Linked DNA regions of Macaca fascicularis. The protein of the gene in region 2 interacts with the protein of the main gene of each other region in a pairwise test. Links are inferred from orthologs where the notes say so. Each region holds a gene or a part of one and is shown on either strand. Other genes may lie near its edges. The genes, in order: NFKB1, TNIP2 and STK11.

Region 1 (6,888 bases), about 110 Mb from region 2:
ATCATCATTAAAAGAATGTTAACTACTTTTTTCTCTTTTTTTCTTCTAAAAGTGAGGCACTGGATACTAATTAATGAAATATTACAAAGATAAAAGGCTTGGTTATGTTACCAGAACTATTAACTGTACCAAATTATGTGGTTTCAAATATTAATCTTTTTTGATTAAAAAAAATTCACAGTCAAGGAGCCAAATTGACTTGCAGGACTATGCCAAAATGTTCAAACCTTTCTCCCTGAGGCTGAGTAGCTTCAGTTCTTCCAAACTCTCTGTCTCCAAAGTAGTGACAGAATTCAAAGAGATATCATATGCTCTTGATGGTTTATTGCTCACCTCTAAGAACACTGCAAGTGAGTTCAATATTCATGGGAAGTGCAAGAGTGCAAATGAGAACTAATTCCCAAAAAGCAGAGTAAATTGCTCCAGTATGGTCTACTGGTTACCAAGACGTAGTCATCAATTAACGCTGATTAGACACAAACGTAGATGTAGGAGCAGCATATCTTAACATATCCTCTGGCACTAACTTCTATTTTGCCTTCTCCTTCTCTTCTAATATAACAATCCCACTACTGTAGACAATTCACATTGTAAACAGAAAACCAAGAGACCAACCAAATAAAACAAACTTCCTACTAAAAGTAAAAAAGCTAATGAGAAATTTTGCATAGCCATTCATTCATAGACATCCATTCCTGTTAATGTGATTTCTGATCAATCTGTGGACTAGAAGCGCATAATCTGAGTATTTACTCTATTGGTTATACAACAGTACTGTGCATTTCCAGATACACTTCCTACTGCAGTCAATTCTATGCTCAGAAGAGCACATCTATTAAGACCTGAAGATGAAAAAGATGACATTTTTGAGTACTTCATGAAAAATCCATACAGCAACTCAGACACAATTATTTTATTGTTTGAAAATATCGACTACTTTTCTTACTTCTCCCAAGTTCAAACCAATTGAAGGTTATGAAGTAATCACTTCCCCTCAGAAGCCAGAACTTTCACCTCTTCTGAAGAGAGAAATACCTCTCATAAATTAGGTAAAAATAAGGTCTTGCTGATGGAATGATAGTCCAACATTCATGTAGCTGCCAATTCCCTATCTAGACCTCGTATCTACCACAATGAGCAATCCCTGAAAGTCAAGGTAGTAACTTACTTAATCAATTATCTGCAAGTCTAAAAGTGTAGCTAAAACAACCTACATAAATAATTAGTTTCTCACACTACTTCAATTTGTTTCCAGGAACAGTAACAACAGAAATGTAAGGAATATGATCACTAAATCTAAAATTCTTCCTATTTCAAGATTAATTGTGCTTTAATCAACTCAGTCATCACAGATCTTGTTTAAGAGGTAGAGTAAAAAGGAAGTGCAAAGATCAAAGCAATGCTTACAAAGGGGAAGGACTATTTTTGTATGTATACCCCAGTATTTACTATCTGGGTTTGAAAAACAGGGGCATTTACTCAGCACAAGTGAGTGCCAACGACGAACGTAAGAATGAAATTTCAGAAAAAAAGATAAAAGATTTTCAAATCACCACCAACCCCAAAACGATTATACTATTTTCCTTAAAAAGTGTCAAAGAGTTTAGAAGTGGTTTGCTTTTCACTGCAAGCAGCTTTTCGGTTCCAGTATTAAATGTACATAAAACGTGTGTTCCTTTGTGTTCAAGTTTGTCCAGTAGGTTGCAGACCAGGAAGACATTTTATCTAAACAAGCAGGGGAGGGCATTTAGGAATTGCAGGTGTATCAATATGGATGAATAATCTCAGATTCCAAGTCTCCATTCATCGTATATGTTCTTTTCATTTCAGCAATTCAATTAAATCATGAACGTAAAATTCTACAGGAAATAAATCTTTTCATTTCCTGTCTTCCCAAGTTTATAAACTGAAAAAAGTACACTGCTTCAAATTTAAATACATACATTTAAACACATAATTCCCATAGTGCCTCAAGCAGTAAAAGGATTCATCTCTAGAAAGCACAAAATTAAAATCAGAAAAACAACATACTTCAATTTTAAGTTTCCCTTTTAAAGTTTTAACAAACACGAATGCAGTTTAAACTGCTTGACAATATTCAGTTGTGGGATTCTGCTAGAAGAAAATTATTGAACATCTTGACCCTAACCTTTAGTATTTACTAAAGATCACCAGTGTGTAGAATATTTTGATGCCAGAGTTATTAAATGTTCTAGTAATACCATAAGCATTTTTTCAGATTATAAGCTTTATAACAAAATCTTTGAGTTAAATATGGTTATTTCATAAACTGTAATGCTGAAAACCTCTACTTAACAAAGTCCATGAAAATGTCTCAAATCTTGATAATTAAATCCTGTATCATTAAGTCCCATTTCAGTTTCAGGATAGACCAGTAAGTCAGGGCAAACATTCCCTGGTGTCTGTTTTTAAGGACCATAGAAAAACTTACATTTAGGATAGGCTTTGTTTTTACATTGTTTTTGTTTCAGAAGTCATGCATAATACATGGTGGCACTGTCCAAGAATTTTACATAATCAAGTCTAAAAAGTGCTCTAAGTATCCAACTAGGTAATTTATTTTCTCTCTCAAATGCCAGGCCCCAGAGGATCAGAATCAAGTCCTATAGCAGGTGACTATATCGTGTGTGTGTGTGTGTGTGTGTGTGTGTGTGTGTGTGTGTGTGTACGGAGGGGTGGGGGGAGGGAGAGAAAAAGAGACAGAGAGAGGGCCAGGCTTCTTTTAGAAGTAGGAGAGGGATGAATAGACTCTCCTATTCAATTCTGGGGAGCTGGAGAGGGCTTTCCCTGCCAGGAGGACTGACAAGCACTTCTTCTTTCATTTCATGGAACGCCCTTAGGTGAAATCTGGTTCTGCACTGCACCAACCACCTTCCCTCTCTCCTCCGCGCCGCAGCGCACCTCAACCTTCTCACTATCCCCCAGCTGGGGCTGGGGTTGGGGGATTTTAAAAGTTTGTAAGAGTTCCCCTCCGATTCGCATTCCCACCCCGCGGAGGGACGTGAAGAGAAATGAGCGCCGGGCAGCCACGGCCCTTCGGCCGACTAGCCCCTGCGAGGTCCGGATGTGCCTTACCCCGCTGTCGCCAATCCCATGTGCCTCTCACTACTGTCAACCTCCTCCCACGGTCTAGCCCAGCGGTTAGCGCAGGAATGAGGAAGTCCGAGTGGGGCTGGAGGGGGTGCGGAGAGCTGGATGGCGGGACTCGAGCCACGCGTCCCCTGCCGGGCCCCCACTCGCCCGAGTTTGGCTTACCCTGGTGGCGAGTCCGCGTTCGGCCTCCTGGCGCAGGTCTCTCCCTCCTGGGCGGCGCGGGCCTGCGGGCTGGAGAGGGAAGAGGCGGTGGCCGGCCGGAGCCCGAGCGGGCCCGGGTGCGGGTCGGGGCGAGCGGTAGCGCGGCGGGGCCGGGCCAGGCCAGTCAGCGCCGCGCCATGTCCGCAGCGCGGGCGGAGGGAAGCGCAGGGCGCGCGGTGGCCGGGCGGCGGCGCCGCCTTACTGGCCGGGCGGCTGCGGCCTCGGCGGCGCTGGGCTCCGGGAGCGGGGCCGGCGGCTGCGTGCAGGCCGAGGGCGGCGGCGGCTGGCGGCCCGACCGACGGGAAGGGCAGGGGAAGCTGTCAGCGCGTCGCCGGGCCGCTCCGGTGGCGAAACCTCCTCTTCCTGCCCCGGCTAGCTGGTGCACTTCTCTCTCTTTCTCTCTCGCTCACTCTCTCACTTCCTGGCTGGAAATTCCCACTGACGTCGAGAGAGCATACAGACAGACGGACACACGCGCGCACGCAGCGGGGGCGGGAGGTGGGGTCGCTGCCGGGGGTGGGGGAAGCCCGCACTTTTGGGGGCCGTGCGCCCCCGGCCCGGCCTCGTTGCTCGGTTGGGCTCCCGCCCCTCGGGGCCGCTTCGGGGCGCCGGGCGAGGGGCGCGCGTTAGGCGGCCTGGACGCCGGGATCCCCGGCGTGACTCTGGCTTCCTAGCCGGGCGCTCCCAAATCCCGAGGGCTGGAGCCGGTAGGGACGCCCCCAGGAAGCGCCAGCCGGGCCCAGTGGTCCGGGAACACAGGCGGCGCGGAGGCGGCGGCGGTGCCGCTGATAGAGTCATGCGGTCCATAGCCCCTAAGGGCAGGCCCGAGCAGCTGGAGGGTCGGCATGGATCCAAGCATGCCAGATATAAAAATAAAGCTCATCTGTATATTCCATTTAAATGTGTCTCGGTTACATTCAGATCTCTTCACAGATTAAACTAGAATTTCGTTATCATAACCGACTTGTGTCCAGTAAAGTATAACCCTCTACTGGTTTTTGGTGCGGTCTTAAATATCCTCGTTATAGGGCAGTTACTCAATATTCATCTACAAGGCATTGTTAGGCCTTTATGATAATTACTGTGGATAGAATTATAGTGATGGTGGTAGCAATGGTTTTGGTTTACAGCTCATAAAATACTGATCTGGCAGAGGGGAGTTTTCTTTTTCTCTGAAGAGACCGCTACTGGCACCCATTGACAGGCCTGCCAGTGACCACCGTTCACTGGCATCTGAGCTGCTTTAGTGCTGGGCGCTGTACTAGGCACAGGCTGGGGATACCTTGGGTTGCATTACCTCCCCACATAAGAAATCTTGAGCTGAAACATATATTTTAGAGCTCATTGTTTCACTAGTGGGTCGAGTGACAACTGAAAGCTTAGCTTTAAAATATCGGTAATCAGGTCCTTACCAGGCAATAGTGCAGTGGCATTCAGATTCCTTATAGCATGTTCATCCTAGTCGTTTTGTGCCCACTCTCCGTCCTCCTCCTCCACTAGGTTATAAAAACCTTCTTGGTGGAGTGTTTTTCTGGCAAAAACAAAAAACAAAACAAAACAAACAAAAAAACCACACATACGCGCACAACCAAAAGTAAAAACAGAGATTCATTTGATTGCCTATGACAGGAGCCTCTGGGGCGACCTTGGAGGCACCCAACAGTTGACCTTTAAGCGATCTCATTTAGCTCCTGGAGGCTGAGCAGGTGGAATTCAGAGGATCCATAAAGACTGAACACAACGACTTTTTAAGAAATTTTGTGGGCCGAGTGCGGTGGCTCACGCCTGTCATCCCAGCACTTTGGGATGCCGAGGCAGGTGGATCACCTGAGGTCAGGAGTTGGAGACCAGCCTGACCAATATGGGGAAACCCCGTCTCTACTAAAAATACAAAATATTAGCCGGGCTTGGTGGCAGGCGCCTGTAATCCCAGCTACTTGGGAGGCTGAGGCAGGAGAATCGCTTGAACTCCGGAGGCAGAGGTTGCAGTGAGCCGAGATTGTGCTACTGCACTCCAGCCTGGGCGAGACCGAGCGAGACTCCTTCTCAAAAAGAAAGAAAGAAATTATGTGTTGTTATTTATGGGACAGATTAGAAATTATGCCAATAGTATAGGAGATTGAAATATAGTTTATGTAAAATGATTTTTGCCAGTGACATGAGTAAGAAGTCTGCAAGTTCCCATGAAACAAAGTGTAAGGGGTGTGGATTTTCCCCCACTTTGGGAGGTATGAGCATACACGCTCTACTTTTCATTCTGCAAGGAGTGGCAGCCCCATTACCAAAAGATAGGTAAATAGAATTGTTACAAGAGTAGAGCCAGTGTGACATATTTGGGGGTAAAAAATGAAGAGTGTTAATTACTGAAAGGGATTAAATCAGACTCCAAACTCAAAATGATTCCATAAAATGAACTTAAAATTGAGGGTAGGGTGTTGAGCAGGCATGTTAGTTTCCTGGGGCTGCTGTAAAAAGTTACCACCGGCTGAATGACTTACAATGGGAATTTATTCTGTCACAGTCCTGGAGCCTAAAATTCTGAACTCAAGGTGCCATCAAGGCCATGCTCCCTTGAAGACTCTAGGGAGGAATCCTTTGCCGCCTCCTAGCTTCTGGTGGCTCCAGCAATCCTTGCCATTCTTGGCTTGGGTGCAACACTTCATTCTGTGCCTACATGGTCACATGGTCTCCTTCCCTGTGTTTCCTTTGTGTCCCTATATTCAAATCTCCCTCACCTTTCTTTTATGAAGACACCAGTCATTGGATTTAGAGCCCACCCCAATCCAGTATTACCTCATCTTAACTTGATAACATTTGCAAAGATCGTAGTTCCAAATAAACTCATGTTCACGGGTACCTGTGGTTAGGACTTGAACATACGTTTTGGGGGGATGTAATTCCATGCAGCACAGCAGATAAAACTGTAAAAGCCTTCAGTTTACTCTTTTTGGCTCGCTGATTAACCCTCCTCCGTTCCTGCTTTGTTACCCAACGTTTTCTCTATACTCTGTACAAATCTGCTTCCAGGAATATTTCTTACAAATTCATCCATCCTAAAGTGTCAGAAGGTATTTACCATTATCAGGCTATGAAGAGAAAAAAAATGCCTCAATGTGGAATTTCAGGCATCAATATTGTCTAAAAGACAAGTTATACTGTGTTTGTCACTTGTCTTAGTTCATTTGTGTTGCTATGGCAGAATACCCAAGACTGGGTAGTTTATAATGAAAAGAGGTTTATTAGGCTCACAGTCTGCAGACTATACAAGAAGCATGTCACCAGCGTATGTGTCTGGTGAAGGCCTCAGGCTGCTTCCACTCAATGGAAGGCAAAGGCGGGTGGTGTGTGCAGAGATCATATGGCGAGAGAGAGGGGAGACGTGCCAAACTTTTTAGCAACCAGCTCTCATAGGAACGAATACAGTGAGAACTCAGTCATCCTCTCCTCCTTGCAGGGAAAAGCATCAATCTATTTGTGAGGGATCCACCCCCATGACCCAAACATCTCCCATTAGGCCCTACCTCCAAAATTGGGGTCACATTTCAACATGAGGTTTAGAGGGGACAAATAAAC
Region 2 (6,853 bases):
AGGTTCACGCCATTCTCCTGCCTCAGCCTCCGAGTAGCTGGGACTACAGGCGCCCGCCACCACGCCCGGCTAGTTTTTTGTATTTTTAGTAGAGACGGGGTTTCACCATGTTAGCCAGGATGGTCTCGATTTCCTGACCTCGTGATCCACCCGCCTCGGCCTCCCAAAGTGCTGGGATTACAGGCTTGAGCCACCGCGCCCGGCCTAAAATGTTTTTCTTAAAGGTGGTGCAAAATCTGACTTGAACAGCTACAAGGCTTTTTCTGATATTCATCTCACAGTCTGAATGGTCACCCTGTCTTTGCAGAAATTGTAATCTCTCTGGTTTTGTGGTGCTGTACTGTGCCCCAGTGGGAGCACTAAGTCAGATTTTAGCTGTTCATTTTCCATGGCTGCAGAACAAACTGTCCCAGATGGTAGTAGCTTCAAACAACAATAAGCACATATTATCTCATCCAGTTTCTGTGGTCAGGAACTCAGGGGCAGTTTCGCTAGGTGGTTCTGGTCCAGGGTCTCCCATGGAGTCACAGTCAGTATGTCGGTGGGGACTACTGTCTTCTGAAGGCTTGACTAGCATCAGGGGATACAGTCCCAAGGTGGCTTCTTCACCGCAGTGGGCAAGTGGGTGCCGGCTGCTGCCATGAAGCCTCAGTTCCTTGCCACATGGACCTCTTCACAGGGCTACTTGACGATAGGGTGGGCGGCTTCCCCCAGAGCTCCGAAAGACGGGCAAGGCAGTAGCCATGATGTCTCGTGGGAGCTAGCTGCAGAAGTCACACTCCATCATTCCTCCAGTACCCTCTTAGTTACACAGGTCAGGCCTCTCCAGTGGATTGGAGGGGACTACACAGGAGCATGGATATTGGAGCGGGGGGGTCCTCTTTGGAGGCTGGCTACCCCAGTTATATGTACCTATTTGAAATCCAAAGATCCTCATTTCTAAAATACACCTGGCGGCCTGGCGTGGTGGCTTATGCCTAGAATCCCAGCACTTTGGGAGGCTGAGGCGGGCGGATCACTTGAGGCCAGGAGTTCGAGACCAGCCTGACCAAAATGGTGAAACCCCGTCTCTACTAAAAATACAAAAAATTAGCCAGGCGTGGTGGCGGGTGCCTGCAATCCCAGCTAATTGGGAGGCTGAGGTGGGAGAATCGCTTGAACCTGGGAGGCGGAGGTTGCAGTGAGCCGAGATCATGCCACTGCACTCTAGCCTGAGCGGCAGATTAAGACTCCGTCTAAAATAAATAAATAAATAAATAAATACAAGACAAGACAATACACCTGATCCCAAGGCTGTTGGATGAGAGACTGTGGATTGTAAAATGCACCTTTTACAGTTGAGGCAGAGTCTCAAGGTCACTGGAATGACCTGCCCCAGGCCACACATTAGCCTCTAACAGCTCTGGGTCCAGTTTTGCTTTTTCCACCGGTGCCCCAGCCAATCAGTTGGCATTGTTCGTAACCATAGCCACGTGAACTGTGGGCTTGCCGGGCAGCAGCCACTGCACTGGACAAGCGTTTCATGCACACTCCACCCTCTAGTCCCCACAACGTCCAACCAGGTAGGGTGGGCACTCGCTCTGCCCTTCCTTCTGCTGAGAGGAAGCCCAGGCTCTGATGGGTAAGAAGGAGCCTTCCAAAGCAAAGCCAGGTCTGTGTAGCCCAATGTCCAGGCCATAAACACTTGCCTGGCTCTGGCTTTGCTTATAGGCTTGTCTGATTCTACAAGCTTGTGGGTGTTTTCCCAGGCTCAGCCCAGGCTTGGCTGTGGATCACATAAAGGAAGAAAGTCAAGATGCTGCTCAGGGGCGGAGCCTGTGGGCAAGCGCGCACACAGGGAAGACCCCTGCCCGATCCCGAGTCGGGAACCTTAGAAAGACCCCATGTGTGCTTGGGCATCATTGTGGGGAAGACTGGGCTGTGGAAAAACACTAGTGTTTGGGAATTTTGGGGAAGGAAAGCGATGGACAAGTGAAAGGGTGGGAAGGGGCTGGTTTCCTGCTGCCTCTGCTCTAAGAACACTATCTAGCAGGAAGGTTGTCCCGCGGGCCCATACTAGCCACCTCACAAAGCAGCGTCTGCGGTGGCTCACGCCTGTAATCCCAGCACTTAGGGAGGCCGAGGCCAACGGATCATCTGAGGTCAGGAGTTCAAGACCAGCCTGGCCAACATGGTGAAACACCATCTATACAAATAATACAAAAAAATTAGCCGGGCGTGGTGGCGGGCGCCTGTAATCCCAGCTACTTGGGAGGCTGAGGCAGGAGAATCGCTTGAACCCGGGAGGCGGAGGTTGCAGTGAGCCGAGATCGCGCCATTGCAGTCCAGCCTGGATGACAGAGCAAAAGTCGTCTCATTTAAAAAAAAAAAAAAAAGGAAAGGAAAAAGAAAGCGGCGAGTGGAGCAGGGGGTTGGAGCTCTCTCTGAACTCAGTGTCCCCAGGTGACGAAACGCATGACACGTGCTTGGTGCGCTGCGAGCTCAGCTCAGCTCCTGGAGTTTCTGTGGCTCCTGTGGCCACAACGCCTGCAGCCTCGCGGGCAGATTCAGACCCACACTCAGCCCCAGCGCTTGGGGCTTGTCTTTACGCCCTTCTTTCCATCAGAGGCTGATGAATTCCCAACCCTGGGCCATGGGCTGAGTTCGACTCTCCCACAACTCCTCAGAGGCGCGTGTTTGGGGCCACTGGAATAAGCCCAGCACGAGCTGGGGTGTGGACAGCCTCCGGGGCAAGGCCGACTCTCCTGGGCTGCTGCGGACGGCAGGGGCGGGGCCGGGCTGTCGGCGGTAGGAGGGGCGGGGCCGGGCGAGAAGGGTCGGGGTGGGCTGCCGTTGGGCGGGGCTGCGCGGCGGAGGGCGGGGCCGGGCTGCGGTGGGTGGGCGGGGCGCACCGGGGAAAGTTCCGGGAAGGGCGGCAGCCGGCGGGGCCTGGGCGCGGAAGTTGCCGGCGGCCGCGCGGCCTCCCGGGCAGGCTTACAGCCATGTCCCGGGACCCGGGGTCGGGCGGCTGGGAGGGGACCCCGCGCGCAGCCGCCGCGCTCTGCACCCTGTACCACGAGGCCGGACAGCGGCTGCGCCGCCTGCAGGACCAGCTGGCCGCCCGCGACGCCCTCATCGCTCGCCTCCGCGCCCGCCTGGCCGCGCTGGAGGGGGACACCGCGCCGTCCCTGGTGGACGCGCTGCTGGAGCAGGTTGCGCGCTTCCGGGAGCAGCTTCGGCGGCAGGAGGGCGGCGCCGCAGAGGCCCAGATGCGCCAGGTACGAGGGCGGGCACCAGAGGGGCTGCGGGCGCCAGAGTGCGTGTGGCGGCCGCCGGGTCTTGGGTGGGTGAGCGGGCCCCGGGTCCTGACGGGTTGAGGGAGCACCAGGTGCTGGGTGTGAGGGGCCTGGGAAGTGAGGGGGTGCCGGGTCCTGGGTGGGTCAGCGGGCCCCGGGTCTTGAGGGGTTGAGGGAGTACCGGGTCCTGGGGTTGAGCGCGCCCGGGGTCCTGAAGGGTTGAGGGGCCACCAGGTCCTGGGGGATTGAGGGGGTGCTAGGTCCTGGAGTTGAGGGGGCACCAGGTCCTGGGGGATTGAGGGGGTACCGGGTCCTGGGGTTGAGGGGGTACCAGGTCCTGGGGGGTGAGGGGGCCCTGGAGGGTGAGGCAGCCACGGTGGGTGAGGGGGCCACAGGTCTTGGTGGGGTGAGGGGGCTCTGGGTTTTGAGGGGGTTGAGGAAGTGCTGGGTCCTAGGGAGTGAGGGGTGCTGGGTCCTGGGGCGGAGAGGGGGCACTGGGTCCTGGGGGTGATAGGGCAACAGGTCTTGGAGGGTGAGGGGACCCTGGGTCCTAGGGGAGAGACGGGGACCAGGTCCTGAGAGGGGTAATGGGACACCACGGGCTGAGGTGTGCTGGGTCCTGGAGGGTGAAGGGGTGCCGGGTCCTGGGGGGTTTGAGGGGGGACCAGGTCCTGGTGGAGGTGAGGGGGCTCTGGGGCCTGGAGGGGGTGAGGGTGCCAGGTTCTGAAGGGGATAAAGGAATGCTGGAAACTGGGAGGTTGGGAGGGCACTGGGTCCTGGGGGATTGGTGAGGAGGAGGCGGCCCTGGGTTCTGAGGAGGGGGGTTGGTGCAGTTCTTGGGTTCTGTGTGTGCTGTGTAGGTTCAGGTTGGTTCTTAGGGGTGTTTTGAAGTTCGTGTGTGGGAACACATTCTGAGGGTTGTGTGTGTGTAGTGTGTATGCTGTGTGTGTGTGTGTGTGTAGTGTGTATGTTCCGGTTGGTTCTTAGGGGTGTTTTGAGGTGTGTGTGGAGGAGACACATTCTGAGGGGTGTGTATGGTGTGTATGGTGTGTGTGTGTGTATGGTGTGTGTGTATGGTGTGTATTATGGTGTGTACGGTGTGTGTGTGTATGGTGTGTGTGTATTATGGTGTGTATGGTGTGTGTGTATGGGGGGTGTGTGTGTATGGTGTGTATGGTGTGTGTGTATGGTGTGTGTGTATTGTGTGTATGGTGTGTATGTGTATGGTGTGTGTGTATTATGGTGTGTATGGTGTGTGTGTGTATGGGGTGTGTGTGTGTATGGTGTGTATGGTGTATATGGTGTGTGTGTGTATGGTGTGTGTGTATTGTGTGTATGGTGTGTGTATGGGGTGTGTGTGTATGGTGTGTATGGTGTGTGTTTGTATGGGGTGTGTGTGTATGGTGTGTATGGTGTATGGTTTGTATGGTGTGTGTGTGTATGGGTGTGTGTATGGTGTGTATTGTGTGTGTATGGTTGTGTGTATGGTGTGTGTGTATGGTGTGTGTGTATGGTGTGTGTGGTGTGTGTGTATGGTGTGTGTGTGTATGGTGTGTGTGTATGGTGTGTATGGTGTGTGTGTATGGTGTGTATGGTGTGTATGGTGTGTGTGTATGGTGTGTGTGTATGGTGTGTATGGTGTGTGTGTGTATGGTGTGTGTGTATGGTGTGTGTATGGTGTGTATGGTGTATATGGTGTGTGTGTGTATGGTGTGTGTGTATGGTGTGTATGGTGTGTATGGTGTGTGTGTATGGTGTGTGCGTATGGTGTGTATGGTGTATATGGTGTGTGTGTGTATGGTGTGTGTGTATTGTGTGTATGGTGTGTGTATGGGGTGTGTGTGTATGGTGTGTATGGTGTGTGTATGGGGTGTGTGTGTGTATGGTGTGTATGGTGTATGGTGTGTATGGTGTGTGTGTATGGTGTGTATTGTGTGTGTATGGTTGTGTGTATGGTGTGTGTGTGTATGGTGTGTGTGTGTGGTGTGTGTGTATGGTGTGTGTATGGTGTGTGTGTATGGTGTGTATGGTGTGTGTGTATGGTGTGTGTGGTGTGTGTGTATGGTGTGTATGGTGTGTGTATGGTGTGTGTATGGTGTGTGTGGTGTGTGTGTATGGTGTGTGTGGTGTGTGTGTATGGTGTGTGTGGTGTGTTTGTGTATGGTGTGTATGGTGTGTGTATGGTGTGTATGGTGTGTGTGTATGGTGTGTATGGTGTGTGTGTGTATGGTGTGTGTGTGTATGGTGTGTATGGTGTGTGTGTGTATGGTGTGTGTGTATGGTGTATATGGTGTGTGTGTATGGTGTGTGTGTGTATGGTGTGTATGGTGTGTGTGTGTATGGTGTGTGTGTATGGTGTATATGGTGTGTGTGTATGGTGTGTATGGTGTGTGTAGGGTGTGTGTGGTGTGTGTGTATGGTGTGTGTGTGTATGGTGTGTATGGTGTGTATGGTGTGTGTGGATGGTGTGTGGATGGTGTGTATGGTGTGTGTGTATGGTGTGTATGGTGTGTGTGTGTATGGTGTGTGTGTGTATGGTGTGTGTGTATGGTGTGTATGGTGTGTGTGTATGGTGTGTGTATGGTGTGTGTGTGTATGGTGTGTGTGTATGGTGTGTATGGTGTGTGTGCATGGTGTGTGTGTATGGTGTGTGTATGGTGTGTGGTGTGTGTGTACGGTGTGTGTGTATGGTGTGTATGGTGTGTGTGTATGGTGTGTGTGTATGGTGTGTGTGTATGGTGTATATGATTGTGTGTGTATGGTGTGTATGGTGTGTGTGTATGGTGTGTGTGTATGGTGTATATGATTGTGTGTGTATGGTGTGTATGGTGTGTGTGTATGGTGTGTGTATGGTGTGTGTGTGTATGCTGTGTGTATGGTGTGTGTATGGTGTGTATGGTGTGTGTGTATAGTGTATATTGTGTGTGTGTATGGTGTGTATGGTGTGTGTGTGTATGATGTGTGTGTATGGTGTGTGTATGTGTGTGTATGGTGTGTGTGTGTATGGTGTGTATGGTGTGTGTGTGTATGGGTGTATGGTGTGTGTGTATGGTGTGTGTGTATGGTGTGTGTGTATGGTGTTTATGGTGTGTGTGTATAGTGTGTATGGTGTGTGTGTATGGTGTTTATGGTGTGTGTGTATGGTGTGTATGGTGTGTGTGTATGTGTGTGTATGGTGTGTGTGTGTATGGTGTGTGTGTATGGTGTGTGTGTGTATGGTGTGTATGGTGTGTGTGTGTGTATGGTGTGTATGGTGTGTGTGTGTGTATGGTGTGTGTGTGTGTGTATCGTGTATATGGTGTGTGTATGGTGTGTATGGTATATATGTGTGTATGGCATGTGTGTATGGTGTGTGTGTGTAGTGTTTATGGTGTGTGTGTGTATGGTGTGTGTGTGTATGGTGTGTGTATGGTGTGTGTGTGGTGTGTGTGTGTGTATGGTGTGTGTATGGTGTGTATGTGTGTATGGTGTGTGTGTGTGTATGGTGTGTGTGTGTATGGTGTATATGGTGTTTATGTGTATGGTGTGTGTGTATGGTGTGTGTATAGTGTGTGTGTATGGTGTGTGTGTGTATGGTG
Region 3 (6,954 bases), on a different chromosome or scaffold from region 2:
TTCACCATGTTGGCCAGGCTGGTCTCAAACTCCTGACCTTGTGATCTGCCCGCCTCGGCCTCCCAAAGTGCTGGGATTACAGGCATGAGCCACAGTACCCAGCCTGAGAAAATACTTTTTAAACACGCAGGTTGGCCGGGTGTGGTGGCTCATGCCTGTAATCCCAGCACTTTGGGAGGCCGAGGTCAGCAGATCAGCTGAGGTCGGGAGTTTGAGACCAGCCTGACCATCACAGTGAAACCCTGTCTCTACTAAAAATACAAAAAAAAAAAAAAAAAAAAAAAAGAGAGCCAGGCGTGGTGGTGGGTGCCTGTAATCCCAGCTACTTGGGAGGCTGAGGCAGGAAAATCACTAGAACCCTGGAGAAGGAGGTTGCAGTGAGCCGAGATCACGCTATTGCACCCTAGCCTGGGCAACAAGAACGAAACTCCGCCTCAAAAAAAAAAAAAAAAGATGCAGGTTGTAGTTTTTCAATGGGCTACTACATGCAGTTAGAGTTTACAGCTTCTGATGTTGAGTGTCCCTGTGTGTGTGTGTGTGTGTGTATAATATATATATATATATTTTTTTGAGACAGAGTCTTGCTCTTGTCCCCCAGGCTGGAGTGTGATGCCACAATCTCAGCTCACTGCAACCTCTGCCTCCCGGATTCAAACGATTCTCCTGCTTCAGCCTCCCAAGTGGCTGGGATTACAGGCGTGCGCCACCACGCCCGGCTACCTTTGTATTTTTAGTAGAGATGGGGTTTCACCATGTTGGCCAGGCTGGTCTTGAACTCTTGAGCTCAGCTGATCCACCCGCCTTGGCCTCCCAAAGCGCTGGGATTACAGGCGTGAGCCACCACGACCTGCGTAATGTCCCTAAATATTTAATGGGTTTTGTTTTTTTTTTTTTTGAGAGGGAGTCTCGCGCTGTCGCCCAGGCTGGAGTGCAGTGGCCGGATCTCAGCTCATTGCAAGCTCCGCCTCCCGGGTTTGCGCCATTCTCCTGCCTCAGCCTCCCAAGTCGCTGGGACTACAGGTGCCCGCCACCTCGCCCGGCTAGTTTTTTGTATTTTTTAGTAGAGACGGGGTTTCACTGTGTTAGCCAAGATGGTCTCGATCTCCTGACCTCGTGATCCGCCCGTCTCGGCCTCCCAAAGTGCTGGGATTACAGGCTTGAGCCACCGCGCCCGGCCATTTAATGGGTTTTTAAAAATGTCTTGTGTATGGCAGCACACCAGACTTGTAGGAATTAGTATCAGTAGTAAATTTTTTTGTTTTTTAGGATGCTGCATTTTAAAAAATTTTGTAATAAAATTATGTATATCAAAAAAAAAAAAAAAGAAAAGAAATTCCGTGTGTAGTTTACACAGCACATCTCCATCCAGGCAGTTCAGAGAATCACTAGGAGGGGTTCTTGGAGGAGGTGGCTTTTGAGCCAAGAATTCATCTTCAAGGCTTCTTTCTATAATGGCCACCAAGTATTTCCTGAGTCAGTTCCATGTGTCCTGCAATTCTCTGAAGGGGCGTGGGACCTACGGATGCCACAGTTATCCAGCATATCCCCAGATTCCAAGAAGTTTGTGCATGAGCCAGCTATCAGTCCAGAAAACAGATATGAAAATAAGTCTGGGCTGGGGAGTGTTTACTCATCTTCTGTTTTCTGGGAGAGACCTTTTTTTTTTTTTTTTTTTTGAAACGGAGTTTCCCTCTTGTTGCCCAGGCTGTAGTGCAATGGCATGATCTTGGCTCACCGCAACCTCCGCCTCCCAGGTTCAAGCGATTCTCCTGCCTCAGCCTCCTGAGTAGTTGGGATTACAGACGTGCATCTGTAATCCCTACTAAAAATACAAAAATTAGCCGGGCATGATGGCGCACGCCTGTAATCCTAGCTACTCGGGAAGCCAAGGCAGGAGAATCGCTTGAACCTAGGAGGCGGAGGTTGCAGCAAGATAATTTGTTCCAGCAAAACAACGTGGCGCTAGTGCAGGAAAAGGTGGAAAGCACGGGGCTAGCACAGGAGGGTTCAATATTTTCAACCTTATCAAGCCGTATTTTGGCAACTCTTGTTTTTCACCAGAAGCCCCCGCTGGGCTCGTCCCAGCGCTGTCCTGAGGCTTCCCCCATGAGTTCCGACAGGGTAGAGGCCGCCCTGAGAGTTTCTCTCTCCCCTGGCCCAAGAGAGCCTTAAAACAAGGATTTTTGATTGGAATTGGCCACTTTGGGTTACTTTTTGACCCTTGACCTCCCCCCAAAGGGGGATCCGGGGGAGGGGCTCTGGCTGGGGTGGCCCCGCTCCTTCCAGGTCCGCGAGCCCAAGTTCTCGCCCACCAGGCTGAGCCCTCCCCGCGGCCGTTCAGCGAGGCCGTTGGCACCGGTGACCTACGACCCCCGTCCCCAGCCCCTCTGAGGTCGCAGCCGTGGCCTCCCCTCCCTATGCCTGCTTCCCGCCCCCTGCCCCTGACGGGCGTCTCCGCGGGCCGATGAGCGGGCCGTATCCACCCCTCGGGCGGGGCCAAGCGCGGACCAATCCCCGTTCGGGCGCCCGGCCGGGTCCAAACGCTCCAATCCTCAGCGGCGGTGGGGCGGGAAGGGGGGGCGGGGATTGCAGGTTCAGCCAACGGGTGGACACGTCGTCCTCGCGAGGAGGCGTGTCCTGCGGCCGGGCGTGCGGCGTCCGCGGCGGCGCAGGGAGGGGGAGGGAGGTAAACAAGATGGCGGCGGCGTGTCGAGCGCGGAAGGGGGAGGCGGCCCGGAGCGCCCGCGAGTGAGGCGCGGGGCGGCGAAGGGAGCGCGGGCGGCGGAACTTGCTGCCGCGGCCTTGGATGGGCTGGGCCCCCCTCGCCGCTCCGCCTCCTCCACACGCGCGGCGGCCGCGGCGAGGGGGACACGCCGCCCGGGGCCCGGCACCTTCGGGAACCCCCCGCCCCGGAGCCTGCGGCCTGTGCCGCTTCGGCCGCCCGGGGCCCCGTGGAGCCCCCGCCGCCGCGCCGTCCCGCGGACCGGACGCTGAGGGCACTCGGGGTGGGGCGCGCGCTCGGGCAGACGTTTGCGGGGAGGGGGCGCCTGCTTGGCCCCGGCGACCACCGCGGGGGTCGCGGGTCGGCTCGGGGGGTGCCCAGTGCGGGCCCTCGCGGGCGCCGGGCAGCGACCAGCCCTGAGCGGAGCTGTTGGCCGCGGCGGGAGGCTGCCCGGACGCCCCCACCCCCCCCGAACGCTCGCCTGGGCCGTCGGGAGTCGGCGCCTCCCGGGAGGTCCGCTCGGTAGTCCGCGGCGGAGCGTTTGCGGCTGGGACAGGCGGCGGGACCCGGGCGTCGCCGGAGACACCCCCAGGGAAGTTGGGCTCTCCAGGTGTGGGGGTCCCGGGGGGCAGCGACGTCGCGGACGCCGCCTGTGGGATGGGCGGCCCGGAGAAGACCGCGCTTGGCCGTGTTCACGCTTGTCCGTGGGCCTGAGGTCCCCGGAGGATGACCTAGTACTGAGAAGCCCCGGCCGGCCTCCCCAGGGCCTCCGAGGACAAAGTTGACCCCGACTGGGCCGTTCCCCAGTTCCGAGGCCCGGGACCCACTGCAACTCGCGTCTGAGCCGCCGTCCCGGACGCCCGGTGCCCGCGGGTCTGCAGACCCTGCACCGGGCTCGGACTCGCAGCCGGGACTGACGTGTAGGACAATCGTTTCTGTTGGAAGAAGGGTTTTTCCCTTCCTTTTGGGGTTTTTGTTGCCTTTTTTTCTTTCTTTTTTCTTTGTAAAATTTTGGAGAAGGGAAGTCGGAACACAAGGACCGCTCACCCGCGGACTCAGGGCTGGCGGCGGGACTCCAGGACCCTGGGTCCAGCATGGAGGTGGTGGACCCGCAGCAGCTGGGCATGTTCACGGAGGGCGAGCTGATGTCGGTGGGCATGGACACGTTCATCCACCGCATCGACTCCACCGAGGTCATCTACCAGCCGCGCCGCAAGCGGGCCAAGCTCATCGGCAAGTACCTGATGGGGGACCTGCTGGGGGAAGGCTCTTACGGCAAGGTGAAGGAGGTGCTGGACTCGGAGACGCTGTGCAGGAGGGCCGTCAAGATCCTCAAGAAGAAGAAGTTACGAAGGATCCCCAACGGGGAGGCCAACGTGAAAAAGTAAGTACGGCTTGCCGGGCAGGCCAGTCACTGTGCGGATGGTTCTGTCTTCCTTCCTTCTCTCCTCCCTCCCTCCCTTACTTCCTCTTAACACCCAAAGCTGGACCCGGCCGGCGCCTGTGTCCTCCGTGCCGGGGAGAGCTTGGTCGGAGGCCTGCGTTACGGACTTTCACTCAGGCAGAGCCAGTTGTCGTAGCGGGGCGTGTGTTTGCTTGGGCTCTTCTGCATGGACGCCCTGGTAGCGAAACCCTCCTGAGAAGGGAGCGGCCCCCAATCCCCTAAGTCTAGCCCCGTGGCTCCCCCAGCTGTCCAAGGAGCAGAGGCGCCCAGTGGAATGAGCCTGTGTTTATTTGGGCGCCGAGAGTTTGTGTGCGGCCGCCAGCAGGTTTTGTGCGCAATGTGTGGCGGTTGCCGGGGCCAGGAGAAAATGTGATTTGTTTATCCTGTCGGAGGGGAACCCTGGGCTGCCAAAAATAACTGCACTGGCTTATCAGCCAGCAGGAGGGAAACGTAGCCTTTCCTCATTTGCCAGGGATGTGACGCTGGAAGCATCCCTGGCCCCCAGCGCTGGCAGCCCTGCCCGAGGAGGACTGTGCCTCCCTCCCGAATTGCATCCGGAAGACCTTACTTTTCAAACTGACTTCTTCAGGCATGGGGCTGCCGCTGGGCATCCCGGACGCCTCTGCATCTGTGCGCGGAGAAGCTCCTACCGAGGGCAGCACGGGCCGGCCTGAGCCTCTCCCAGCTGGTGGGGGGGGGGGTGTCCCTTCCTTATCGCAACCAGACACGCTGCACCTGCCGTCGCCTGGCGGGCCCTGCCCAGGCCCTGCCCCTCTCCCAGCCCTCTTAACTTTCATAACTTTGCCTCCTGTTTCCAAGAAAGGACCTTATCTACTGGGCTAGGCCTCGAGGGACTGGCAGGGACACCCTGCACAGGGCACCATGACCTTGGAAGGAGGTCTGGGGAGGGGCCCCTGCCCTGTCTGCTCTCACCTCCCTCCTGCTCAGGGGCCCTGGGGCTCACATACTTCTTTTTTTTTTTTTTTTTTTTTTTTTGAGACCAGAGTTTCGCTCTTGTTGCCCAGGTTGGAGTGCAGTGGTGCGATCTTGGCTCGCTGCAATCTCCGCCCCCTGGGTTCAAGTGATTGTCTTGCCTCAGCCTCCCGAGTAGCTGGGATTACAGGCGCTTGCCACTGCACCTGGCTAATTTTTGTATTTTTTGTTTTTTTTTTAGTAGAGACAGGGTTTCACCATCTTGGCCAGGCTGGTCTTGCACTTCTGACTTTGTGATCCACCCGCCTCAGCCTTCCAAAGTGCTGGGATTAAAGGCGTGAGCCACCGCAACTAGCCAACACGCTTCTTAATCAGCATGCGGGCTGTGACATGCAGAAACCAGGGACACAGGCTCTGAAGTTTGTACTCCGGAGCTGGAGCAGTCGGGGTTAAATGGGAGCGGCTGGGAGGGGCGTGTTTCCACCAGGCCTTTCTGATATCTCAGCACCCAGTCTGGACGCGGGTAGAAGGCCAGTGCCTGGAGTAGGTGGAGCAGTTGCCCATGCCTGGTCTCTGTGAGATGGGTTGGTCAGGGGCTGGGCAGAGCCTGTGCTGGGGGTAGCAGGTGCCCTCTAAAGGGGCCAGTGATAGCCACTCTCCTAGCAGTCAGAAACCCATCCTTAGGGGTTGGGCACAGTGGCTCACACCTGTAATCCCAGCACTTCGGGAGGCTGAGGTGGGCAGATCACCTGAGGTAGGAGTTTGAGACCAGCCTGGCCAACGTGGTGAAACCCCGTCTCTACTAAAAATACAAAAGTTAGCCGGGTGTGGTGGTGCATGCCTGTAATCCCAGCTACTCAGGAGGCTGAGCCAGAAGAATTGCTGGAACCTGGGAGGTGGAGCTTGCAGTGACCAGAGATCCCACCATTGCATTCCAGCCTAGGAGACAGAGCGAGAGTCTGTCTCAAAAAAAAAAAAAAAAAAAAGTCTGGTTTGAGTTTTGACAAACGTATATGCAAGGTCAAAGGGAAGACAGATGCTGGGGGGAGGAAGCCTAACTGTGAGTGCGAGCCCCCTGCTTTCCTGAACAGTCAGTGCAGGAGGTCCCAGGAGCTCAGGTGAGCACCTGAATGGTAGGGCGGAGCCTGAGGGTCTTGGTGGAGACAGGCCAGAGGGTTGCAGGAACCCAGTCTCGCCCAGTGCATGGGAGAACAGGAGGGAACACTGAGGCAGGGAGGCAGAGGAGTTGGCAGGACCTGGACTGGACCTTGCGGTGCAGCTCCCCACAACTTATGACCCCACCGGCCTTGAAGTGAGTGATGCACCCTCACTCCTGTTCAGCGTCCAATTTCATCCTGGCCCTGAGTGCAACGGCTTTGCCCTTGTGAGGCCCCCTGGGCTGAGGGGTGAGCCCTGTCCCTTCCTGGCCACCATCTGCAGGGACCGTCTGCCATCAGGAGCCGCCCGGTTTGCAGCTGTGATTTAGGAGCCACTGCCACTCCTCCAGCCCCCTGGGTGCTGCCAGGGGGTCCCCCTACTCTGGGAGCTGGTGTGTCCTCACTGGAGGCTGCCACGTGCAGAGTGCCGTCAAGCAGAAGGGGTGTCCACTGCCCAGCCCTGAGGCCCAAGGCCTTGGCCAGCCTTGCTGCCAGCGCTGCAGGGAAAAAGCCTCCTTTGTGTGTGGGAAGCTTAATAAACTCTGCTCAGATTGTGTCTCGCAGCGAGTGTCTGGAACCTTCCAGACAAGCCTCAGGCGTCCGGTCCTCCAGGTGGTGTGGAAAGCGTGGGCAATCGCCAAGGGGGGTGGGTTGGGGCAGATGGAGCCAGCATGAGTCCTGTCCCTTCCCTTCCTTCC

Evidence for each region.
Region 1: the proteins of TNIP2 (region 2) and NFKB1 interact in binary tests that used the Homo sapiens proteins (3 or more experiments, as listed by UniProt). The link is inferred for Macaca fascicularis from reciprocal best matches to the Homo sapiens genes TNIP2 and NFKB1.
Region 3: the proteins of TNIP2 (region 2) and STK11 interact in binary tests that used the Homo sapiens proteins (3 or more experiments, as listed by UniProt). The link is inferred for Macaca fascicularis from reciprocal best matches to the Homo sapiens genes TNIP2 and STK11.

What each region holds. Positions count from the first base shown.
Region 1 is NC_088379.1:108,166,344-108,173,231, reverse strand, and holds the start of NFKB1 (nuclear factor NF-kappa-B p105 subunit), read right to left. Parts: upstream 3,732-6,888; 5' UTR 3,277-3,731; intron 1-3,276.
Region 2 is NC_088379.1:2,930,323-2,937,175, reverse strand, and holds the start of TNIP2 (TNFAIP3-interacting protein 2), read left to right. Parts: upstream 1-2,904; 5' UTR 2,905-2,981; coding exon 2,982-3,257; intron 3,258-6,853. UniProt on the Homo sapiens protein: Inhibits NF-kappa-B activation by blocking the interaction of RIPK1 with its downstream effector NEMO/IKBKG.
Region 3 is NC_088393.1:1,783,153-1,790,106, forward strand, and holds the start of STK11 (serine/threonine-protein kinase STK11), read left to right. Parts: upstream 1-2,670; 5' UTR 2,671-3,816; coding exon 3,817-4,106; intron 4,107-6,954. UniProt on the Homo sapiens protein: Tumor suppressor serine/threonine-protein kinase that controls the activity of AMP-activated protein kinase (AMPK) family members, thereby playing a role in various processes such as cell metabolism, cell polarity, apoptosis and DNA damage response.